Linked DNA regions of Drosophila melanogaster. The protein of the gene in region 1 interacts with the protein of each later gene in a pairwise test. Each region holds a gene or a part of one and is shown in the gene's direction. Other genes may lie near its edges.

Evidence for each region. Proteins that work in one complex are often made in the same cells at the same time.
Region 2: the proteins of Tpc1 (region 1) and CG11007 interact in a two-hybrid assay, tested with the Drosophila melanogaster proteins (one large-scale study listed by BioGRID).
Region 3: the proteins of Tpc1 (region 1) and CG12862 interact in a two-hybrid assay, tested with the Drosophila melanogaster proteins (one large-scale study listed by BioGRID).

What each region holds. Positions count from the first base shown.
Region 1 is NT_033777.3:10,878,149-10,888,264, reverse strand, and holds Tpc1 (thiamine pyrophosphate carrier protein 1), read left to right. Parts: upstream 1-6,076; 5' UTR 6,077-6,702; intron 6,703-7,158; 5' UTR 7,159-7,260; coding exon 7,261-8,259; 3' UTR 8,260-8,693; downstream 8,694-10,116. Other genes in the region: Ak3 (adenylate kinase 3), read left to right, coding at 1-605; leash, read right to left, coding at 2,178-2,292; CG14696 (uncharacterized protein), read left to right, coding at 3,431-3,545, 4,351-4,718, 4,778-5,309, 5,373-5,731; CG14695 (uncharacterized protein), read left to right, coding at 8,992-9,861.
Region 2 is NT_033778.4:19,498,634-19,505,094, forward strand, and holds CG11007 (uncharacterized protein), read left to right. Parts: upstream 1-4,434; 5' UTR 4,435-4,554; coding exon 4,555-5,370; 3' UTR 5,371-5,961; downstream 5,962-6,461. Other genes in the region: CG15120 (uncharacterized protein), read left to right, coding at 986-1,157, 1,268-1,417, 1,486-1,646; CG16926 (uncharacterized protein), read right to left, coding at 1,891-2,006, 2,083-2,226, 2,296-2,419.
Region 3 is NT_033778.4:14,639,714-14,644,888, reverse strand, and holds CG12862 (uncharacterized protein), read left to right. Parts: upstream 1-4,262; coding exon 4,263-4,345; intron 4,346-4,434; coding exon 4,435-4,675; downstream 4,676-5,175.

The sequences.
Region 1 (10,116 bases):
CGGGCAAAGGAACTATTTCGGAATTGATCTGCAAGAACCATGGATGTGTGCACATCTCCACGGGGGACATTCTGCGCCAGAACATCATAAAAAACACAGAACTTGGAAAAAAGGCCAAGCAGTACATTGCTGAAGGTAAACTGGTGCCCGACGCGATTGTGACCAAGACGATGCTGGCCCGGATAACCGAGGTAGGCAACAGGTCGTACATCCTAGACGGATTCCCGCGCAATATAGCCCAGGCCGAGGCACTGGCTGCACGCGAGCAAATCGATGCCGTGATCACGCTGGACGTTCCACATAGTGTGATTATCGACCGGGTCAAGAATCGCTGGATCCATGCGCCCTCCGGCAGGGTGTACAATATTGGCTTCAAGAATCCCAAAGTGCCTGGCAAAGATGATGTGACGGGGGAGCCGCTGATGCAACGCGAAGATGATAAACCCCATGTGGTGGCCAAGCGACTGGAGCTCTACGATGAGGTGATGAGCCCGGTAATAGCCTGGTACGAAAAGAAGGGTCTGGTTGCCACTTTCAAGGGAAAACAGACAAAGGAGATCTGGCCGATGATGGAGCTTTTCCTCAACGACCGCATAAATGCGTAATGGAGCAACCCCGAAATTACATCCAATGTGCACAAACTAACGATAAACTGCTGTGTTCAATTAAGTGCATAATATATTTAGATATATATAAATGAATACGTATGAAATATGTATGTTTGTGGGCCGGTTAAGAGGAACAGGCGTATAATTAATGTAATTGCGAAGCCTTACACAGTAGCAGCTGTCATGTATTCCTTCTTCCACAGATATCATTCCCCTCATGAGCATGTCTTGCAGCTCCCCCCTTTTTTGTATAAACATATTTTTGTACTCGTATTCTGTGCTCTGATAATAAATCGCGTTTTTTATATATATAAATATATATATATATGCGCTGATAACAGCCGACTTTGACTTTTGGGCAGTTAACGGACAGCCGTCGATCTATTTTTAGGCAATGTCCACAAACCCTTGGCCCCATGCGTGAAGCCAACACTTTTAGCTTCACCTCATGACACCCAAATGCCCTTCATTTTATCGCGTAGCGCATTAATTTCTAAAAAATATGGGATAGTGTGGCGCTCCCGTTTAGTCTCGCGCTCTCTTACTCACACATGCACGGACCAGCTGCTGTTCTCACGCACACCTGTATAGTGGCAAATCACAACAGAGAGGCGCTTGTACAGTCAAGGGCGCCCAATTATGTCAGATTTAAAATTCTTTAAGTCATTTATAAAAAATTCAATAAACCACTTATTGTTTTAAAGGTATACTTCATAATAAAATGGAGATAGCTGTTTGCCTTTTAAACACTATACTTCGGAATATACCATTACTGGGAATCTTATTTCTGGATAATTAAAAAAAAAAACCTATATAAACCCCTTTGTGGCCACCACTGTGCTGCGAGCGCCCTCTCACCTCTCTCTCATTTAGACCCGACTTGCGCTTGGCCCAATATTACGGCTTTTTCGGCACGCCAACTGAGTGTGCCTCTCTTCGCACATGCCCCCACCGTCTACACTCCCCTCTCGCGCGATGCGTTTGGGTTGGCATTTCCTGAAACAAATGCCAGTACTCAAGAATCGTGAAGAACGAAAAGAAATTCAATTGCAATTGCAACGGGCGGCAATTGAAAGCTTATCGATGAATGAAAGGCGAGCGCCGAAGGCAATTAGAGGAATTTGCGAGCAAGAATCTCGAAATTGCGGTGAAGCGGAGGGGGAGGAAGCCCCATAAAATGGCCGCTGTGCTTTGTTAACTGATGGAGTTCTTTGTTTATGCGAATGGGGCCGCAACGAAAGTCCAGCTGACCATCGGGCGGACAATGGATTGCAAACCGCTGACAAAACAGAAAAAAGCACATTTCTATTTGTGGAGTACATGATGGGTTGTGCAGAAAACCATCTTTGTTAATATTAGATTACTATATCTAAGCTAAATCTTTTCGGTAATACGATCTATATGTACACATGTAAACAATACCCAGAATCATAAACTAAGAGCCTAACGTTAAATGTAGGGTTTTGAAACACTTTCTCTGCGTGTCTACAGCTGAGTCATGGATGATGCAAGCCGAGCTTTGAGATGTGCATTCCAGGAAGCGGCAAGTTATGCTCGACTGGCACTTACCGCGTATTTTGGTGCGCTTGTTGACGTTCATCCAGATCTCGCCGCGAATTATGTCGCCCGCAAAGTAAACCCGATCCGCGCTGTCCAGCGTGATTCGCAGCCGCTCGCTTTCCATTCCGCTGGCGTTGATGGTGATGACTCCTCCGGTTTGGCCACTTTCCTCACGCACTTATCCAAAAATAATTTCGTCATCAAAATGCCGCCACATACAAACGTACATGGATGCACTGCAGCACCACGGCCCGCACCACCCTAAAGTATATGCAGAATAGTAGCACCACCACACGCACTCGCCTCACGATTTACGATTTGATGTTACTACACACACCGCGCGGTGAGTGGGAGCTTTTTCGCGCTGATTGTGGCCAGTTCTTGGGGAATCTCGATATCCATCAATTCGCAATGGCCCACAAGTGTTGGTCGCACACCCCGGGCTAATTTAATTCGATTGCTGTCGTCCGCTGGCGGGTTGAATAATTAAATTTCTTATAAATTTACGAGATCCGTGAGTTACGCTTTTTTGTTGTAGCTGCAGCTCTCTTTCGATAACCGTGAGAGCGGCGGTCCGATAGCACGAACAGCTGTTGCGCGGTGCTGCCACCGGGCGCCTGGCCAGCTGAAGCGGTTAATTCGCAGACTTTTTAATCGGTATTTTCAAATGTGTCTAATTTAAAGTTTAAGTTCTAAACAGCGTTTCTTAAATGCACTGTTTTCAGTTGTAATGCAAGAGTTCAGAAATGCTTGGTAGTAATGGTCTTTTTTTATGGTTTGATGTTTGAAAAGAGAAGAAGAAACTCTCTGTTTGAATATCGCCAATAATTTAAGTTGATATATTTCACTACGAATAATAATTACCAAATATTTTACTGTATAGATAACAAAACGCTCAGCTTAGATGTCAGCGATGATTGAAGCATACATACATATTTTATTAAGATTAAACTTTAGTTGGCTTAGCAGCATAATGCTCCATATAGTATTTCGTGTGCTTCCCCGTTCTGTCCTTCGCTTCTTCTTCTTGTAACCTCTCGCGCACAAAAGTTTGCTTCTCGGTTCTTCGGTCTCACCAAAGACTTTTGAGAATTCAGTATTAAGCCAGAGCTGCTCGCGTTCGGAGCTTGCGAGCTGAGTCGCCGGAACCCTCGAATACATCGAATCCCTACCTCTTCCACCAACTATCAATAAAACAAACAAAGGAACTTGATAGCGCGATACCACCCGACACCGTCGCCAAGGAGCCAATTCTGGACAGGATGAGCAGCAAGGTGAACTTCGTCTTCGACAGCAATCCTTTGGGGCTCTATCAAGCCGGTCAGCTTATCTCCGGCACGGCGGAACTGATTACGGAGCGCCCCAAGACGATTCGATGTAAGTGACACCGACATGCGGAAGAAGACGCACTACATACATATGTATTCTAATGGACTCGAAACCATGACGTCATCCCCCTCCATCACCATTCAAATTCTGAATCCCATACCGTTTTACCATCCACTAATAAATAAATATCCACTTAATATTGTTGGTGCTTTGTTATCCGCTGGTTTAATGTTATTGTTGCCGGTAGATATGCTTGAAAGATGTGTATTGTATATACAAATGTACATATATGTATGTATACATAAAGTTTATATACAACACACATGTGGCCGCTTGGCTGGCTGGCGGATATCTGATAGCGGCGTAAAAACTAGTTTTGTTTTGAAATTGCGTACGCTGTTTGTATTATTAGATATTTGATTCAGTTACTGGTCAGCCCGTTCGTGCCAATACCTTTAAATTGTAGTGTATAGGTAGCATTTTGGGTCAATTAGGCGTAATTCATGCAGATATACATATATATATAAATTTATACAAATCCCATTAGCAAGCTAAGTGGACCCTAGCCATCGGTTCAAATTCAAATAATCAAATATTTCCTAGGGTATCAAATAGTCGAGCCTTAGCAGCGCTTTAATTTGATGGTGAACTTTATTAGGTAGCATTCGTTTTTTTTATGCTTCTGATTAAATTATTGTTAGTTCATTAACAAAGACAGTTGTTTGTAGCTGAGCAATTTTCCAATACAATTCTACATCCGAAACACACAAAAGGTCCAAGGTCAATGGCAATTAAACTAAATGCATAATTGAATTACATACCCGGCAGTACAGACAAATTAATCCAATTGCAGCGATCTTTATAACCATAAATGGATACGGCGAGACGCGTTGGCAGGAAAGCGAGGAGCGAGTGGGAGAGGATGGGAAGACGACCAAGTCCCTGGTGACCCACACCACCACCGAGGTCTACTACAGCACTGACCAGCCGGTTTACGGCCAGGCCGGTGGCTCGCAGCTGGAGTTGCCCACCGGCAAGTACGTCTTTCCCTTCCGGGCTACCATTCCGCCCAATGCACCCACCTCATTCAATGGTGCTCATGGTCAGATTAAGCACGAGGTTACCCTAACCATCGATCGCGCGGTTCGCTACAACAACACATTTAAGCAGTGCTTCACGGTGATCCTGCCACATGATCTTAATAGGCGGCTCGAGTATAAGGTATGTAGTCTTGGTTGTTCTTCCAAACTGAATAACCTTATGAAGCGCACTTCCCTTAGGAACCCCTCCAACGCTTGGAGTCGAAGAGCTTCTGGTGGGGCTCCATTTTCGGTGCCCACAAGCCGATGATCATGGACGTGAGCACCTCTTATTCTGCCTACGTCCCCGGCCAGAAGATTCATTTCCATCTGGTGTTGGACAACCAGTCGGATGTCCAATGTATGGACGTGAAGGTGCGTCTGATCAAGAACGTCTCATATAGAGCCAACTCATCGGGCGCAAAGGAGCAGTTGAAGGTAACCGAATCTCGGGTGGCGGACAAGCACTGCGGTGAGGTGCTGAAGCACAACAAGGCCAAGTTCGATGAGTTCCTCACGGTGCCGCCAACTACTCCATCCACGCAAAGCGAAAAGGATCCCATTCGAGTTAGCTACACATTGCGATTCATCGCCAAGACCTTCAAGCTGCACGGTGGTGGCGACTTGGTCATGGACTTTCCAATAACCATTGGCACAGTGCCGCTGCTGGGAAGTGCTGATGACAAGGGGCCCGGGGCGGAGAAGTCCCAGCCCAGTGGTGCCTCTCATCCAGGTGGGTTTTGCACTAAAGAAAGCATAATCGAAAGTGTTATTAATCGACGTTTCTCCGGCTTAGGCTCACCCAACTTTCAGGAGGACGTCAGCGATGAGCAATTCGAGTCCAACACCTTTAAGCCAAGATATCCCGTCTATCCATTTGATGGGAAGCCTGGAACCAATGGCTCAAACGGGGCAGCTAATTTTCCCAGTCTTTATCCCAAGGCAGAGGAGGCGCATCCTGCTACGCCTGTGAAATTCACACCAAATCCTGTGTCGCCAGCCGCACAAAAATCGCCACCATATACGACCAACACACCTGTTGCTTCTCCGCCAGGCGGTAATTTTGAGGTGCTTGGATTCAGTATACCACCAGACTATAAACCCACGCCTAGTGCTCCAGCCGCCTCTTCCACTGGCGGCATTGGGTGGAAATAGGGACCATAACTTAACCATTTTGTATTCTACACCTTAAGGCATTTTTAAATATACAAGAAAGCCCGCATAAGTGGCAACGCTGTGCATGTGACAGCTATATTAATATCGATAGTTAGTATCATTTTAATCCTAAATGGCCTTTTATTAACTCGAGTATAAACATAGTGATCTGGTTTCAGGAATTATGCTTACTATTAAAAAATATTTATGTTCCCAATTAAGAAAACCCTAAAACTGAATTTTAGCTTCTAGCTATTTTCTTACTATTGTTGTCAACCACGATAGCCGATAGTTGCCATCGCTGTTCGCTAAAAGCTCATCGCCAGCGGCTCGAACAGCTGATTCCGTGCACTTGGCGACGTAATTTAGTTTGTTTTGTTGTTGTTGCGTAGAGGTTTGAAGCAGCGCGTCTTGAATTCGGAAAACCAGTTTGTGGAAGTGGGAAGCGGCCAACTTGGACAGCGGCAGCAGGGGATTGACACAACTGCAACGGCATCTCAACGGCGGCGCTATTACAAGTCTGGCGAAAAGAAAGTTTTGACGCAATCCACGGGCCGCCGCCTGTAATGAAGAAGCGTCGGCGCCGCAGTCACTGCTGCACTCTGCCCGCGAACGGACGCATCTGCTCCAGGTGAGCTCAGATTGTAGTGCGCTGCTCTGGACATTCAGCAACATCATCATCATCACCATCGAGCGTGTTGCCAATGCCTTTGTCTCTTTATCTGAGCAGCAGCATCGGAATTTTGGGAACTGGACAACGGTCGCCGAGACATCGAACAACAAAAGCGGAAAAAAGTGAAATCGCTGATAAACCCGAATACCAACCGAGCTATTGTCAATCAATGAACGGCCGTTTGAACCTGGAGTCAACTTGGGAGCTCTGCGAATTGGCGGGCAATTGGCCATAACCGACCGAGATAATAGTGAAGTAATCGCAGAGACATACGCACGCTCCGTGGAGCATGATACTTGTAAGTCTCATCCTCAGATGAATTCCACTCCTACTATTTCCCAATTCCTGTCTACGCACTTGTACACAACAATTTGTCCATCGACTTTGATGAATGTGTGTAAACAAGTCGAAGTTTGCGCCCTGCCGCACCTCTAAAACGTTTTGAATGAAAGCTACAGGCAAGCTTTGCTAAGTCGGATTTTCGAAAACTCCATCTTTGATACCAGTAAAACCTAGCATATTTCATTTTTATCAAGAAACAATCTTAAGCTTTCTTTTTAACAGCATCTACCTTGAATTTCACAAGAGTCAAGTAAATTACAAGTAACCTTCAAAACAAATTCTTTATGATAATATATAAGCTATACCTATTAGATCCAGCCTCATAGAAGTTGCTAAGTCCGAGTTAATAGTTGCATCTACATAGTTCCGACTGTAATAACGTCTCCACCTGTCTGCGTTTCTTTATTTTCAGAAATGCCATTGAAAAGTTGGCAGTCGCAGCAATAAAAGTGAAATCCGCACGAGCAAACATACGCACACGAAAAGCAAAACCAAAGGTAGCTCCGACGCAGACATGGCGGTAACCACAGGCTCCACCAGTGAGGCGACCACAACCACAACTCCCGTTCCGCGACGCAAGCACAGTACGCGGGAGCAGCTGCATCAAATGCTGGCCGGTGGACTTTCGGCGGCCATTACGCGCTCCACCTGCCAGCCGCTGGACGTGCTAAAGATCCGCTTCCAGCTGCAGGTGGAGCCGCTGGGCAAGAACGCCGCCAAGGAGGGACCAGGAGCCCTTACCTCCAAATACACATCCATCGGACAGGCGGTGAAAACCATATACCGCGAGGAGGGAATGTTGGCCTTCTGGAAGGGACACAATCCTGCCCAAGTGCTGAGCATAATGTACGGCATTTGTCAGTTCTGGACGTACGAGCAGCTCAGCCTGATGGCCAAACAGACCAGCTATCTGGCGGATCATCAGCATCTATCGAACTTCCTGTGCGGCGCTGCGGCCGGAGGAGCAGCAGTGATCATATCCACGCCGCTGGACGTCATCCGCACTCGTCTGATTGCCCAGGACACCAGCAAGGGATACAGGAATGCAACAAGGGCTGTGTCGGCGATTGTCCGCCAGGAGGGACCTCGCGGCATGTACCGCGGTCTGTCCTCCGCCCTGCTGCAAATAACGCCGCTGATGGGCACCAACTTTATGGCTTACCGCCTGTTCAGCGACTGGGCGTGTGCCTTCTTGGAGGTGAGCGATCGCAGCCAATTGCCCACGTGGACGCTGCTGGGATTGGGCGCCTCCTCGGGCATGCTATCCAAGACGATCGTGTATCCCTTCGATTTGATCAAAAAGCGACTGCAAATCCAGGGCTTCGAGTCGAATCGCCAGACCTTCGGACAGACACTGCAGTGCCACGGAGTCTGGGACTGTTTGCGGCTGACCGTGCGCCAAGAGGGCGTTAGGGGCTTGTACAAGGGCGTGGCCCCCACACTCCTTAAGTCAAGCATGACGACGGCCCTGTACTTCAGCATTTACGATAAGCTCAAGCAGGTGCGCTTCTAGGTCGGACTTGGAGTCGGGGTTAATGGCGTCTGAAAGCAATTGTGCGCCCAAACGGAATCTACACTGTATTTTCTATTTTTATATATATTTACCGCAGCGCGTAAATAATATTAAGACTTAGGCTAACTCTGTTGATTAGTTTTCGGTTGTGCGTATCTTTTCTGGGGGTTCTGTTTATCATAGACCAATTGACTTGGTCAGCGCTTTAGTACACACACGAATAGTTGGCGCACCAGTTAAGTTATAGATTGTATGTGCTAGGTTGTAGTTCATTATTCGGCAGAGCACCTCTATTCACAGACACATTCAAATTTTTATTTATCTTTTGTTTGATTCGCAAACGAAACGACTGCGCTGGCAGTTCATTTGATATTTAATTAATATTATTACACCTAAGTATTCAGGGAATTTAATAAATTTGACTACATCACAACAGTTTAATAACTTTTATTTTTAATGAGTATTGTCCCTGCCTCCTAAGATTTAATTCTTCATATTTTTCTCATAATCTTTAAGCTTAAATGTTTCTTCCAATTGGAATAATTAGTTTTATGAACATGTTATTGAGTTGCAGCTGTTAAACTCCAAACATAATCAATGTTAAGAAAAGCTCGCTGCTGTGAGCTTTTTTGGTTGTGAAATTTAAACGGTGATGCATGCAGTGTATAAAAGGAAATGTATCTTTGGGAACAACAATACAGTTACTTCAGCGATTTCCCGTCCGGAGAGAAAATGGCTCTTGTGAAGACGTACACCATCGACAATAACTCCATTCCATGGATTCTGTGGCTACCGCCATTAACGGAAGTGGATAGGAAATCGCCGGGTGGGAGGTTCACATTTGATGGGCCAAAGGTGGTGGCGTTTCACTTTGTTAAGAACCGGCACGGAGACACGTTGGACAAGTGGATAAGTCTGCTCGATGAGTTGGCACAGGAGTACGCCGGTCGTATATTGTTCGGATTGCGTGACATCTCCAACATCGGGGAGTTCAATCCGAACCTAAATCCCGACGACTTTGGCAGCTACCGGAAGGGATTGCCACCGCGAATCTATGGCAAGGACTGTGAGGGCCGAGTGTACGATATGCACAAGCTGGTCAACGCCAAATACCTGAGGGAGTTTTGCGACCAGTTGCTGGCGGATCAACTCTTCCGTGCCGTAGTCCTGGGCGCCACTGCCTCACTGGACTCCAAGCCAATGAATTACTTTGAGTTGCGGGAAGAGAGCAGCAGCGATATGCTGGTGATGCTATATGATCCTGCCTGCTACTACTGGCCCATTCAGAAGAGGATGCTGCGCAAGCTGATCCGCCTGCTGGCCAGCGAGGATCTGCCCATTGTGATCGTAGACAAGGCGAATAACTACCTGGGCGTGGGCTTCACCCGTTGGCTGCAGATGGTCAACTGTCACGGCTCCACCATCTTCACATCGCCACGTCGCGATGGCTGGGATATTAAGTTGTCGGTGCGAATGGAGAGCACACGTGGCTACCTGCGATACATCGCCCGAAACAGGCAGCCGGAGCTAATTGACTTCGATGCCGATGGGGAGCCCAGAGCACTGGAGCAGGCCGTGGAGTATATACAGTATTTGTTTTAGATCTTGGCGCACTCGACTCGAAGTGAGTGGCAAGTCGCATAAATATTATAACTATAATCTATAACTCACTTTAAGGATGAGTTGGCTTTTCAAGCCAGCCATCTCGGATAAGTATCCGTTAAATTACCATTTAAAAATTAAATGTTAGAATTGAGCATTGTTACCAATACCACTCCTATTTACTAAATATATTTATCTGCATGTCCACATGTAGGTACATAAGTCAGCAGCCAACCTAAATATAGGCGAAAAATT
Region 2 (6,461 bases), on another chromosome or scaffold:
CTTACCACTCGGTGACCCATAGACAAAGCCCATATTTGAATTTAGCTCGAGTTTCGTACACCTGCGTGTCCAATTATTTCAAGTGTTGCAGGTGAAAGCAAAAACCGAGTAAATAATATGCCATTGTCTATTTCCGGAGTTAGTAGAGCTCCACGGCTGACGGGCAAGCGATTCCGTCCGGAATGCGACTACTGACATTCAAAACGTCGCACCGTCCAACTGTCAGTCAATTTCCCATGGAACTCCGCTGCAATCGGAAAGTTATGTGTAACCAATTCCCACCCACCTCGCATGAGTGTGTGTGTGACCCCTTTGGCTGGTTCAATGTCACAGACCTTGGATGGCACTCCATATTCGATGTGGAGTCCACATATGCGGCGTATGTCATTTGGGTGGTGCGTTTGTTTATCTAGGCCGAAATGCCGTCGTGACAGGAGAGTGATATGTGAGTGACACTGCCTGATTTACGTCACGGGGTCGAAGGTCGATGTTGGGGAAACCCATATGTGAGGCTCACGCAGCTGCGATGCCAGCGATGTCGCCTTTGACTTAAATATAAAGTTGCTGTCTTCTTAAAATCAAAGTAAAATTCCTATTCTGAGTCATTCAGTCATATATGCAATACAATCTGGTTAAGATAGTGGGTTATATTATAACCCTTTGTTAGCTCAAATCAACTAAGCTAAGCTGGTAACTATACTCAAAGCAGACTCTCGAACAAAGATTAGTCTAGACTTAGCACTGCAAAGTCTATAGGCAGGTACAGGCCCATTTCTCGATGTGTTCTAAAAATTTTCCACTGACAACGTAAGCAAACAAAGAGCATCTTAATGGAAATCAGCTAGGGCGCCTAACCGGCATGGCGTGCAAATGTACACTTGCAAGACTTGCGCCACCGCCGGTACACGAACCAATTTCGAACTTGGAGCGGCTCTATTCACCTTTGACCCGCCAACGGTGTCACCTCTTCCCGTATCTCGCCTAGGTGGACATTGAAAAGCTGGACTACAGCCTCTATCTGCCGCTCTTCTTCGACGGACTGGCGGAGACGAAACATCCCTACAAGACCTATGCCCGCCAGGGGGTCACGGATCTCCTCTTGGCCGGGGGCGAGAAGATACACCCGGTGATACCGCAATTAATATTGCCGCTGAAGAGTGAGTACCAGGGCATTGGCTGGCACGCAAATGCCTCGAAGTTTTTCGGTCTAATTTGCACCTTGCCAATGCGAGCACAAAACCAAAACCAAATACGCCCCCATTTGCAGACGCATTGAGCACACGAAACCTGGAGGTAATGTGCACGACATTGAAGATAATCCAACAGCTGGTCATGTCCTCGGATTTGGTGGGACCCGCCCTGGTGCCCTTCTACCGCCAGTTGCTGCCCATGTTCAATGCATTTAAGGTGAAAAACTGTAGGTATTCCACTAAACTCGATTACTTCCAGTAACTTCCATTGAAGTGGATATTCTGTGCTGTATAGTAAACTGCGGCGATGAGATCGACTATGCCCAGAAGAACAATCTGAATCTGGGGGATCTGATCGATGAGACGCTGCAGGTGCTGGAACTGCATGGCGGCGAGGATGCCTTCATCAACATCAAGTACATGGTGCCGACCTACGAGTCCTGCTATTTAAATTAAACTACGCCTCATGGTCTTGTCCCTTTACATACAATATCATAAGTATTTATTGAATTTTACAAAACATTACAGCATTAAATAGATATTTGTTACCAAAGTGTTATGTGCGTTTAAATCGATATATGCTTGAGATTATAGTTGTGTATATATAATATATAATTGATTTTGACCAACATCCTGGTGGGGATGCTAGTCGCGTTTGGGGCACGTCAGCTGGAAGCGAACGTGGCCCCACTTTAGGTCATCACTTGGTGGGGGCGTACTCGTTCTTCTTCACATTGTGGGGGGAATAGCGATTGTACAATCCCCAGATGGAGTTCATCAGCTTGTCGTTGTACTTGTTGGGCGAGTACTCGCGTTCTGGAAATGCAAAATTGATGCGTATGAGCTCCATTGACCCAGCGGATCGAGATCGTGGATCGTCATGTGCACTTACGGGTTAGGGCGTTCCCGTTGTCAACGGAACCCTTATCTGCGGCAGCGGACCTCAGACGGGCGATGATCAGCTCACGTTCGTTGAATTGCTCGCGAATCTTGCAGGCTGCGAATGCACCTTGTGGAATGGCGGCCATCTTAACAACTGGAGGCGGAGGAGGAGCATCAAAAGTTAGTTATACATTGTAAATACATGGCTAAAATCACCACCCACCACTTAGGGAAATAACGCTCAGAAGGGAGATGATGAAGTCAAAGTTTCGCAATGGGCTTGTATTCCAGCACTCGGTGAAATGCTGATCGAGATTGATGATTTTTCCGCACTGCTGCAGCAGCATTCAAAGGCCAAACTGAAAGTCCGGAAAAAGTTTGTGGGATAGGGGATATTTCGCTTAGATCGAAATGTGTCCCAGTTTCTTTGGTTTTTGTTTTTTATCACAATTTCAACTATGAATCAGATTAGGCCAATTGGAATGGTTAGCTTTGCACGATGGATTTGGCATTTGATGCCTGTCGTTTTTTCTGGGATTTGCTCGATTGTCTGCGATTGTCTATGTCTGCTACTCGGAGATGAACACTCAGCACAAGGGTTCGGATTTAAACTGAAGACGTCGCCTGGCTGGGAATGGAATTTATAGAACGCGTGTTCGGATCGGATCGGTTCGGCTCGGAGCTGCCGCCAAGTGATAAGCGGGAGACAGGAGATCAGGCTGCCTTGATAGCGCGATTATAAAGCCGGCAAGTGATCGCCATTTTGTGCCACTTATCAGTTGCAGTTGTCATTGTTTTGGTTTTGCCTTTTTTTTTGTCATTTCCACACACAAGCCTATTTGTTTCCAAGCTCTACGGGAAGTTTCGATGGGGCTGGGAAGTAGATTTGTGTACTTGATATGGCTATCAGAGCCCTGGATCTATAGACCAGTTTTGCTTTTTAGCCGCAGCCAAGATGAAGGGCTCTCGTTCCCATCACGAGTGTCCCTGTACTCAAATGGCTGACAATCTTACGAGACTTTATTCCAAACCAGATTAATCCGGCTGCCAACACACTATAGCATGCTGGCAAAGGCATTTGTGATTATAATATTATTAAAAACTGACCTAAGTGCACGTTGTTTACTGAAATTTTCACTTCATTTTTGTTTTGGCGCAGACAAGGTGCAAAAGCATCAACACCTTAGATTTGACTTTGATTAGTCATGATCTCGGATTTTCGAAATATTTTCTGTATTGATTCCCTATTTCATTTCTATCAAGTTGTACAAAACAGTGCACTTGAAAAAATCTTATTTTGTTTTAAGTTAATTGTTTTTAATATATTATTACCAAAGACACTAGAATTCTTATTCTATTGTCTTATTCTAGTGTCTTTGTTAATACTTTTTTTACTATAAAGTGAATGATTGGTTGAATTTAAATATAAAGCCACGAGAAAGTTGTTTGATTCGATAAGGAGGTTACTAATAACACAGTTGAAAATATTCTATAAATAGAAGCAAGCTCACTTTATTTGCCAGTGTATTGAACATAAAATAATCGCTGTATAAACAAAGAACGGCCTACTAGTGAAACCAGTAAAGAGGTGGGTGATCGATCCGATGGGGATCATGGAGATGACCCTCGTAAATTGGTCTCAATAATACGATTAAAAATAAATCGTTTAGTCCAGTGACGCGCACAGTGTTTACTACAAAAAAATTAATCTTTGCACAACGCGGAGAGTCAGCCACGATGGCGATAATACTGGTGATGCTCTATGAAGTGGGTACAAAATTCTCACAGTATTCACACAGTTCCAAACACATTTAATTTAGGAACTACAAAAAAAAAGGCCAAAATAATATTTGGGTGATAAGGCGACTGATGGAAGCCACGAGCGTCTGAGATCACGTAGAGAGCCAAGCTTTTTCGCAGATTTGAACTCGGCGTGTGTGCCGATAATGAAGATCCTCGATGCCTTTTTTTTACCTTTTTTTTGCAGTGGCCTTTGTGTGCTAGGTCAACAATCTCTCAATGACTTTAGCAAAATGCTGATGTAACAATAACTCGCTTATCAGTTTCGGTTGGTTTTCGGGCAAACAAATATGGTTGTCCCAAGTTCTGTTTATGGTTTTAACTTTTGATTAATTATCATTTAAAAAAAATGCTAAATACTAAATACTAAATACTTGTAAGATAATAATGCATATAAGTAAATAAAACGTATCAAAGAACGTTTAAGAAAGGCAAACTGTTAATTGATGATTTTGAATTTGAAAAGGCGCCAACGAACTAATACCATTTCCAGCACTGACAAGAGTGCCACTGTTCTTTTATCAGGTGGCAACGCCCGTGCCAGACAACTAGGCTGCTAATTTCTAGTCAACGGCGAGGCTAAAATTAACAATTGGCTGTCAAAAGCAAGAAAAGAAAAACTCGGGAAATTGTTAATTAAAATCGTGACCCAGATCAGCGCATTCAGCCCCCGGACGCAGAGATGACGTGGAAGAAGCAGATGGCTCTGCTGGCCAAGCCATACTACTGGGTTAACATACTCCTGGCCATATCGTACCTTTTGGCCAAAAAGACGCAGTTCATCTGCACCCGCCTATTTATTCTCGCCGGAGAGGATGAAGCATGCGACCTGGACAGTCGTGAGGTGGAAATCTTGTTCTTCCTGCTAATCGTGGTGATGATACGGTCACGCAAAACGGGCAGTGTCACCATGATTAACTACTTGGCCTCGTCGTTCCTCTACACCAAAGTGGCCAACGCCATTTTGTGGGCCTACGCGGACTTCCGCTACGGCCTGGGCTTTCTGCTTCTATGCGTCCTGGTGGGCATGGTGCTGCCGGAGCCCTCGTATCGCGGACCCGAGCACATCACCTACTTCCGCAACGCACAGGTCTTCGAGGAGGAATTGGCCAGGGACAAGCGAACCAGCTGGCTGATCTGCTTCTACACGGTGTGGAATCCCAGCTGCGTGAACTTCGCCCCCGTTTTTGCTGAGCTCTCCGCCGAGTACAACACGGACCACCTGAAGTTCGGCAAGATTGACATTGGACGCTTTCCGGACGTGGCCCAAAAGTATCGCATCTCGGACAGCAGCTTCTCCCGACAGCTACCAACTGTGATCCTGTTCCAACAGGGCAAGGAGACGGACCGCAGGCCCTGCGTCGATTCCAAGGGTAAACTGCAAAAGTTCTTCTTCTCCAGCGACAATGTGCGCGCCACCTTTGGCCTTAACCAGCTGTACAAGGAGGCCATCGAACGACTACCCATTGCGCCCAAGGAGGCCAAGAAGGTCCAGTAGGCTGTCCTGTCCACCACTGGTGCCATCTCATTTCTGCGTGCACGTGCTAATAACTGTTATTCGTTTAGTTCATAGTTTATTTTAACTTATTGAGGAGCTGCCACCGCCAAAGACACGTACAATTGCACTAATATTTGCATTCTAAACTCAGACGTGCTCTCGTCGCGATGCCATTGTAGAAAATATTTGTATGATCTTGCATTTGCATAAATTGTAGCTAATCACCAGGTACCAAATATATTTAAAAATGTGAAATGAGTCAACGAAAATACGCAGTTCTTTTTTAATTCCCAGCCGAGTCTAACATTTCATTCAATTAGCACAGCTCAAACGATCATTTCCGGTGCTCGTTTAAGAACAAGTAAATATTAAGATGGACTGGACAAGCGTAAATTGAAAGAATGTAATAAAGAACTTACGCTGTATACAAATAGCTAGTAAAATAGTGAAAATATAGAGAATGAATATATAGTTTCAGAAAGGTGCCCATACTGGTTTTCGGTACAAATGTATATAAAGTGTTTGTGACAACCCACAATTTTATGACATATTTATTGTATTTTATACGTTCTGACTTGCCGCTTAAAACAGAAACCTTCGTCGTATCCCCCCGGTTTATGAAATATAAAACCAAATGGGCCCGTTGTTGCTGCCAATGTGTTGAGCAAAATTGTATGGCAATGCAAATGGCACAACAAAAATGTTTCCGGCGTGTTGCGTTCTGTTCCGAAATGGCCCCGCAGACATCGGCCATATAGACAGATCGTATATGGATATATATATATATATATACATAAGAACCCAACAGGCCAGACGCAGAACGAAATAAACGCAAATCCCTTTTATCCATTCAATATGAACACACATACGTATAGAGAAACGGACGAATTTAAATGCATAAATACAGGCGACTGCACACCAATCACCACCCACCGCACACCGCCCACAACCACCCCCCACAGATGTGAGCAAGGCCTTTGTGGTTAATATTTGTATTTTTCTTTACTTTCATTGAAACGGCATGAAAATGGCCATTGCATTTTACGTGAATTGTATATGGTAAATAATGCGATTGTCTCACACGGCCGTTT
Region 3 (5,175 bases), on another chromosome or scaffold:
GCCACATTGTCATCTCTAGATGAATTCTTGCTATCGTGTGCAGCTACTTACTGATCATGACCTATCGATAGCACAGTAATCAGCTTATCGATAAGCCGCGATCAAATGTTTTTTTGAATAATTTAATTCAAGTAGTAGTATAGTTAAAAAATCAAAATAATCGAATAATCTTTATAATCTTAATTTTATACAAAAATTTAAGAATACGGGACACCGGTTTTTTGAACCATTTTTTTTTCATTTTGCATTCTTTCAATTCCTACCAAATATTGTGTGCCTTTTTTTTATTTTATTAGGGAGAATTCACCCGCCATGCGATGTCCTTTGTAGTAGGGCTTCCGGGCATTGGCAAAGGACTCTCGAGCTGGCAGACAAACAAAACTGAACCGCAGACAACCCACTCAATTGGAGTTGGCTCCTTTAAAAGTTCATTCGTTTGTAAATAATTTTTAGCCGGCGGCAAAATCGATACTTCGCTTAAGATTTTTGCATATATAGCGACCATCGCATAGCTCTGAAAATTTTGTCAAGCTGCGCAAAACTTTCAACGGCAGCCGACGAGCAAAGTTATATGAGCAGCGTATGCCGATAATGCATAAGAGAAAAGTTGGGGGGAAAAGGCGGAGAAATGGGAGAAGAAGAAGGAGAAATGAAAGCATAAGCCGAATGGGGAAGTTTTACTATTAAAGTTTTTCATCAGCGCCTATTTGTCGAGCTCTCGAAACTTGGCCCTAAACCCCTTTTTTGGTGCTGGGGCGAAGGGCAAATATTTGTCAGGCAATTAAATGTTTACTGTTTTTATTATATGCTCTTGTTTGCCCTACCCTTCTCCCCAATTTTATTGTGACAAAGGAGCGGAATGAATGAAAGGGTTTTTGTCGGCTATTCCGGCTAAAATTAATCACACGCCCCGTTGCCGCAGTGCAAACAATCCAGCAAAGGTAAAAGCGTACAGACTAACCGCAGTACAGCTTAGTGTGCACCTTGCATTCAGGATGTTGAAAATATTAGCTTCGAAGGTTTGGGATTGTAATAAACCTACAAGAGATGAAAACGTGAGTCACCAGCAGAGACATTTAACTGGTGCCCTTCGTCACTAAGTGGACTGCCGTCCACAATGAAGTCGCGAGACAAACAAATAGATAAAAACCATCCGCAGATCATTTCAGACCAACTTCTCACCTACCTAACCATAATTATTTCGTATCAATTAATAAACCACAACCATCGTCATCCACTCAATGGTAATGGGATTTGCTGGTCAGCATTTGAAGCGATTCATTGAAGCGGATCAGCCACTCGTTCCGGCTCAAGCACCACCCAGTCTCGATTTTCCGGCATTTGCATACAAATTAATTAACAACACTCGTTCGGGGCCATAGTAAATTAATAATTTAGCCAGACATTACGCATATACGACGCATCGGCTGAGTGGCAGTAAAAAGCTGTCCAAAAACGCGTCGGAGATGGGCCAAGAGTCATTTTAATTACCACATAACAGGGCAGCGGGCCACAAATGGCAACTGGGAAATGCGAAATGCGAAATGCCGGGGCTTTTGGAATGGGTGAGCGGAAAATGGGAAATGGAGAAGGGAAAGCATGTCACGCTAAATGGGAAATGTTGCGAATACGACCTGAGGGCACAAGTGCCTGGAAGTCTGCGTGAGTGTGTGCGTTTTATGACATTGCCAATTTACGAAATTTCATAAATATAAATTGGTTTTAAATGTTAAAATAAAACAATTAAAATTGCCGCTGGTAAGCAGCAAAGTGAGTGCCCCAACTCCGCCGAAATGCGTTCATGGGCCATATTCACGAATTTAGTAAACATTCGAGGAGCCCTGAATAATTTAGTCGAGATTATGATTGCATTTCCCGCGAGAGGAAGTGAGTGCAAATCGGAAATTAGCCCCATCCACACTATTCACATTTATGTACATTGAACTTTTAGCCAAATCACAGCCGGTAAAATGGCTCAATTCAAACGAGGCAAACAACAAAATCATTTTAGCCCACAAACCATTTCTTTGCTGTTTGTAAACAGCTGAAAAACGCTGGAAATTGTTTATGGCTGTTACTGTTCTCGAACATTTCATCGGTTGGCCATAAAAGGGCATGACAAATGAATGAAATTCGTTGGCAATTTTCGTTTTCAGTGCCCTCATAAATTTCGCACTAATAAAACTGCGGAAAAGTGTGCTACAAAAAGCTATTGGAAAGGCATCCAATTCAAGTGCAGTAAATACAACTTGAACAATATGCTCCGCCGCATTTCTGTAAGTCAGTAATCAATGTGGAGTTCTCCGAGCTCAGATGAAATCTTTGACTTTAAGTTGGAGCTATTAAATGGCGGAGCATGGCCAACAAATCGATATTTAATGACAGAGCTTAGTCGCACCCGCCCACCCAAGAACACGCCCCCCAGACTAACACTCACACACCCAAACAAAGCGAGCACATACATCATTGTCAATGTCAAAGTGTCAAAGCAAACTTTGCAGTGCACAAAGCCAACGGCGCATAGTTATTACACTGAAAGAAATATAAATCGTTCTCCAACTTTAGCCATTATATGATGTATAAAATCAATGAGGTTCACAGCTGTTACTTAGCAGTGCAAAAAATATTATAAATACAAATATTCCTCGACCTCAAATAAAAGTTTTTGCCTTGTGCTCTGCGAAATTCTCAATCCTCAGTGTTCGAAATCATTTCATCGGGCCGACCCAAGTCAAGTGCAATAAACCCTCGAATCGGCTGGGGAGTTTTGCATTCGGCCACGCCCACATAATGCCATCGCCTCTGTAGCCCGCAGTTATGATGTTGCAGTAAGCAGCGAGTAAACTGCAATTTGCGCACAAAAACTTTGCTTGCGACAAACTTTCCGCCCCATATGTCCCTCTCTTTCGCTCGCATTGTTTTTATCTCTCTCACTCCGCTTTGCAAACGGGCAACAATTTGAACTGACAAAGTCCGGCGATAAAAAAAAATGTTTAAGTACTTAAGTTGCGCTCCGAATGCATCGCACAAAAGTTTATTAAACAAACAGGTAACAATAAAAGTGAATGGCGGAGAGAGAGGGTGATAAAGAAACATGGATGATTTACTCATTCTGCTTTTCTTTTTAACAGATGTTTCAATGAATAACAAATTTATAGTTGCCGATGTTGTGTGGGTCAACGAGGTTTTTATATAACTGAGGTGGAAAAGGGATGGTCGTCTAAAAATATATGTATATAGTACTATGTATATATAGTTTGAAAGTCACAGCAATTTTCACAAATGGGCTTTCTAGAATTTTTGTTTAGGAAAATATTTTCTTAAAAGCCGTTGATTTTAAGAATTATGATAAATAACTAAACATTAAACGTAATATTTAATACATATAAACACATTTAGTTTCTCTTATATTCTTTTTTAATGCACTGTCGAAATAATAAATAAGTTTTTTTCTTTAACAAATTTTGTTCTTTTGTAAGACAACCGCGAGAAAAATCCCAAATAATTGGGTGTCGAATTGACGAGTTGCTTGTGTTTAGCAATAAGCCCCTCGCCCACTCACCATTAACAATGTACAGTCATCACCGCTCTCCTGTCGACCTTCGTCCTGCCCAACCACCAGCGCTCCCTCCTGGCGCCACGCCCCCTGCGCCATCCCCGCCCACCAATTGGATGTACGCCACTCGCATAATCAATTATGCGTCTGCAGTGCGTCCAAAGTTCTCTCTAAACTTGGCAATTTATTTGCACCGGAAACTCAACATAAATCAAACTAATTTCTCCTGGGATTTTTCAGCACAACTTCCAACGTGTCTCCCATTCGCCATCTCTGTCCCGCTCGCACTGCTGGCGCGCTGGTCACGTGTCTCGCTGCGTGTGAGAGAGCAGGATAGCAAATGGGGCGGGTGTGGCAAATTGAATTTGTCGCGGTGTATCGCATAATTTGGGGAGTATTGTGTTTCTAATTGGCCGCTCGAAGGATTCACAAAAGTGAAAGCCCCAAGACATGAGGAAATTCGAAGGATCTACTGATTAGACAGGCTGTGTTCTAAATTATCAACGGTATTACATGGATGTATATGCAGTGAATGCAAATTGCGTGAGACATCCCTATTCAACTGGATCGCATTGTGTTCTTGTCGCCTGTTGACTTGAATATTTCCGCATATTTCAGTTGTCCTTGGCAGAAAGGTAGCTCGCATTCAACCTGGGCATTAACAATTTTGTAAGTTACCTAATAGTCCGGTGAATTGCATCAGAAGATGGAATCGCTGGACGAGTGGGACACACGTGTGGACCGCATCATCAAGCTGCCGGTGGGAAAAGCGCTAATAGAGAAGGACAAGTGGAGGTTTTATAACATTCCTGAAATGCACTTTTCCAAGTGCATAAATCTGTCGCTACCTCCAATTAAGTCCCTCACCTCCTCATTAGCTTAGACCAGATAGCGGTAGACATGGACGACGGAGCGAGGTGGTACCGGGAGATTTATGAGATCTTTGACGTGACATCGGTGCCACCACGTCAGTTCATCTGTCACGATTTGGCACCGTACCACGAACCGAAACCCGATTCACCTGACCAGGTGTTCGAGTACAAGGACTTCCTGAGCTACCTGGGCATACTGCAAACTCTGCCTTTGGACACCTTGCAGCGCCTCGAAAAGCCCCTCTGATGGTCCAAATGGCATCGATTCCTCGACGGCTACATCGACGCTCCTTCTTATCCTTCTCCTCTACCCGACAACCTTGATGATGATGATGATGATGATGTGGCTGTGCAAGATGACAGCGATCGTGCTGCGTGGCAGTAACAGCAAATTTGCATTACCTGGGCAGGTGTGTTCCTGCTTCCACTTCCCCAAATGAGCTTAATGCTAGTCGCGCTTAAACGAGGGCTGATTGAAAAGTTTGAAGTTTGACAAACAAGCACATTTTACCACGTTTTTATTTGTTTATTAAAGTTTCCTTTGAATTTTATATGCTTTTATATATATGTTTTTTGATGCCACAAAATAAAGGGGTATTATTAGTATGCATTTTACTAAGTACTACAAATGGGTAAGCTTTAGGCTCAAGCAGCCTCTAAGTTCCTGAGTCCAAAAACCTCTTAGCACCCACAGCCCTGATTTCCAAGCGTATTGCACTTTCCCGGTGATTTTCGAAACAATTTCCT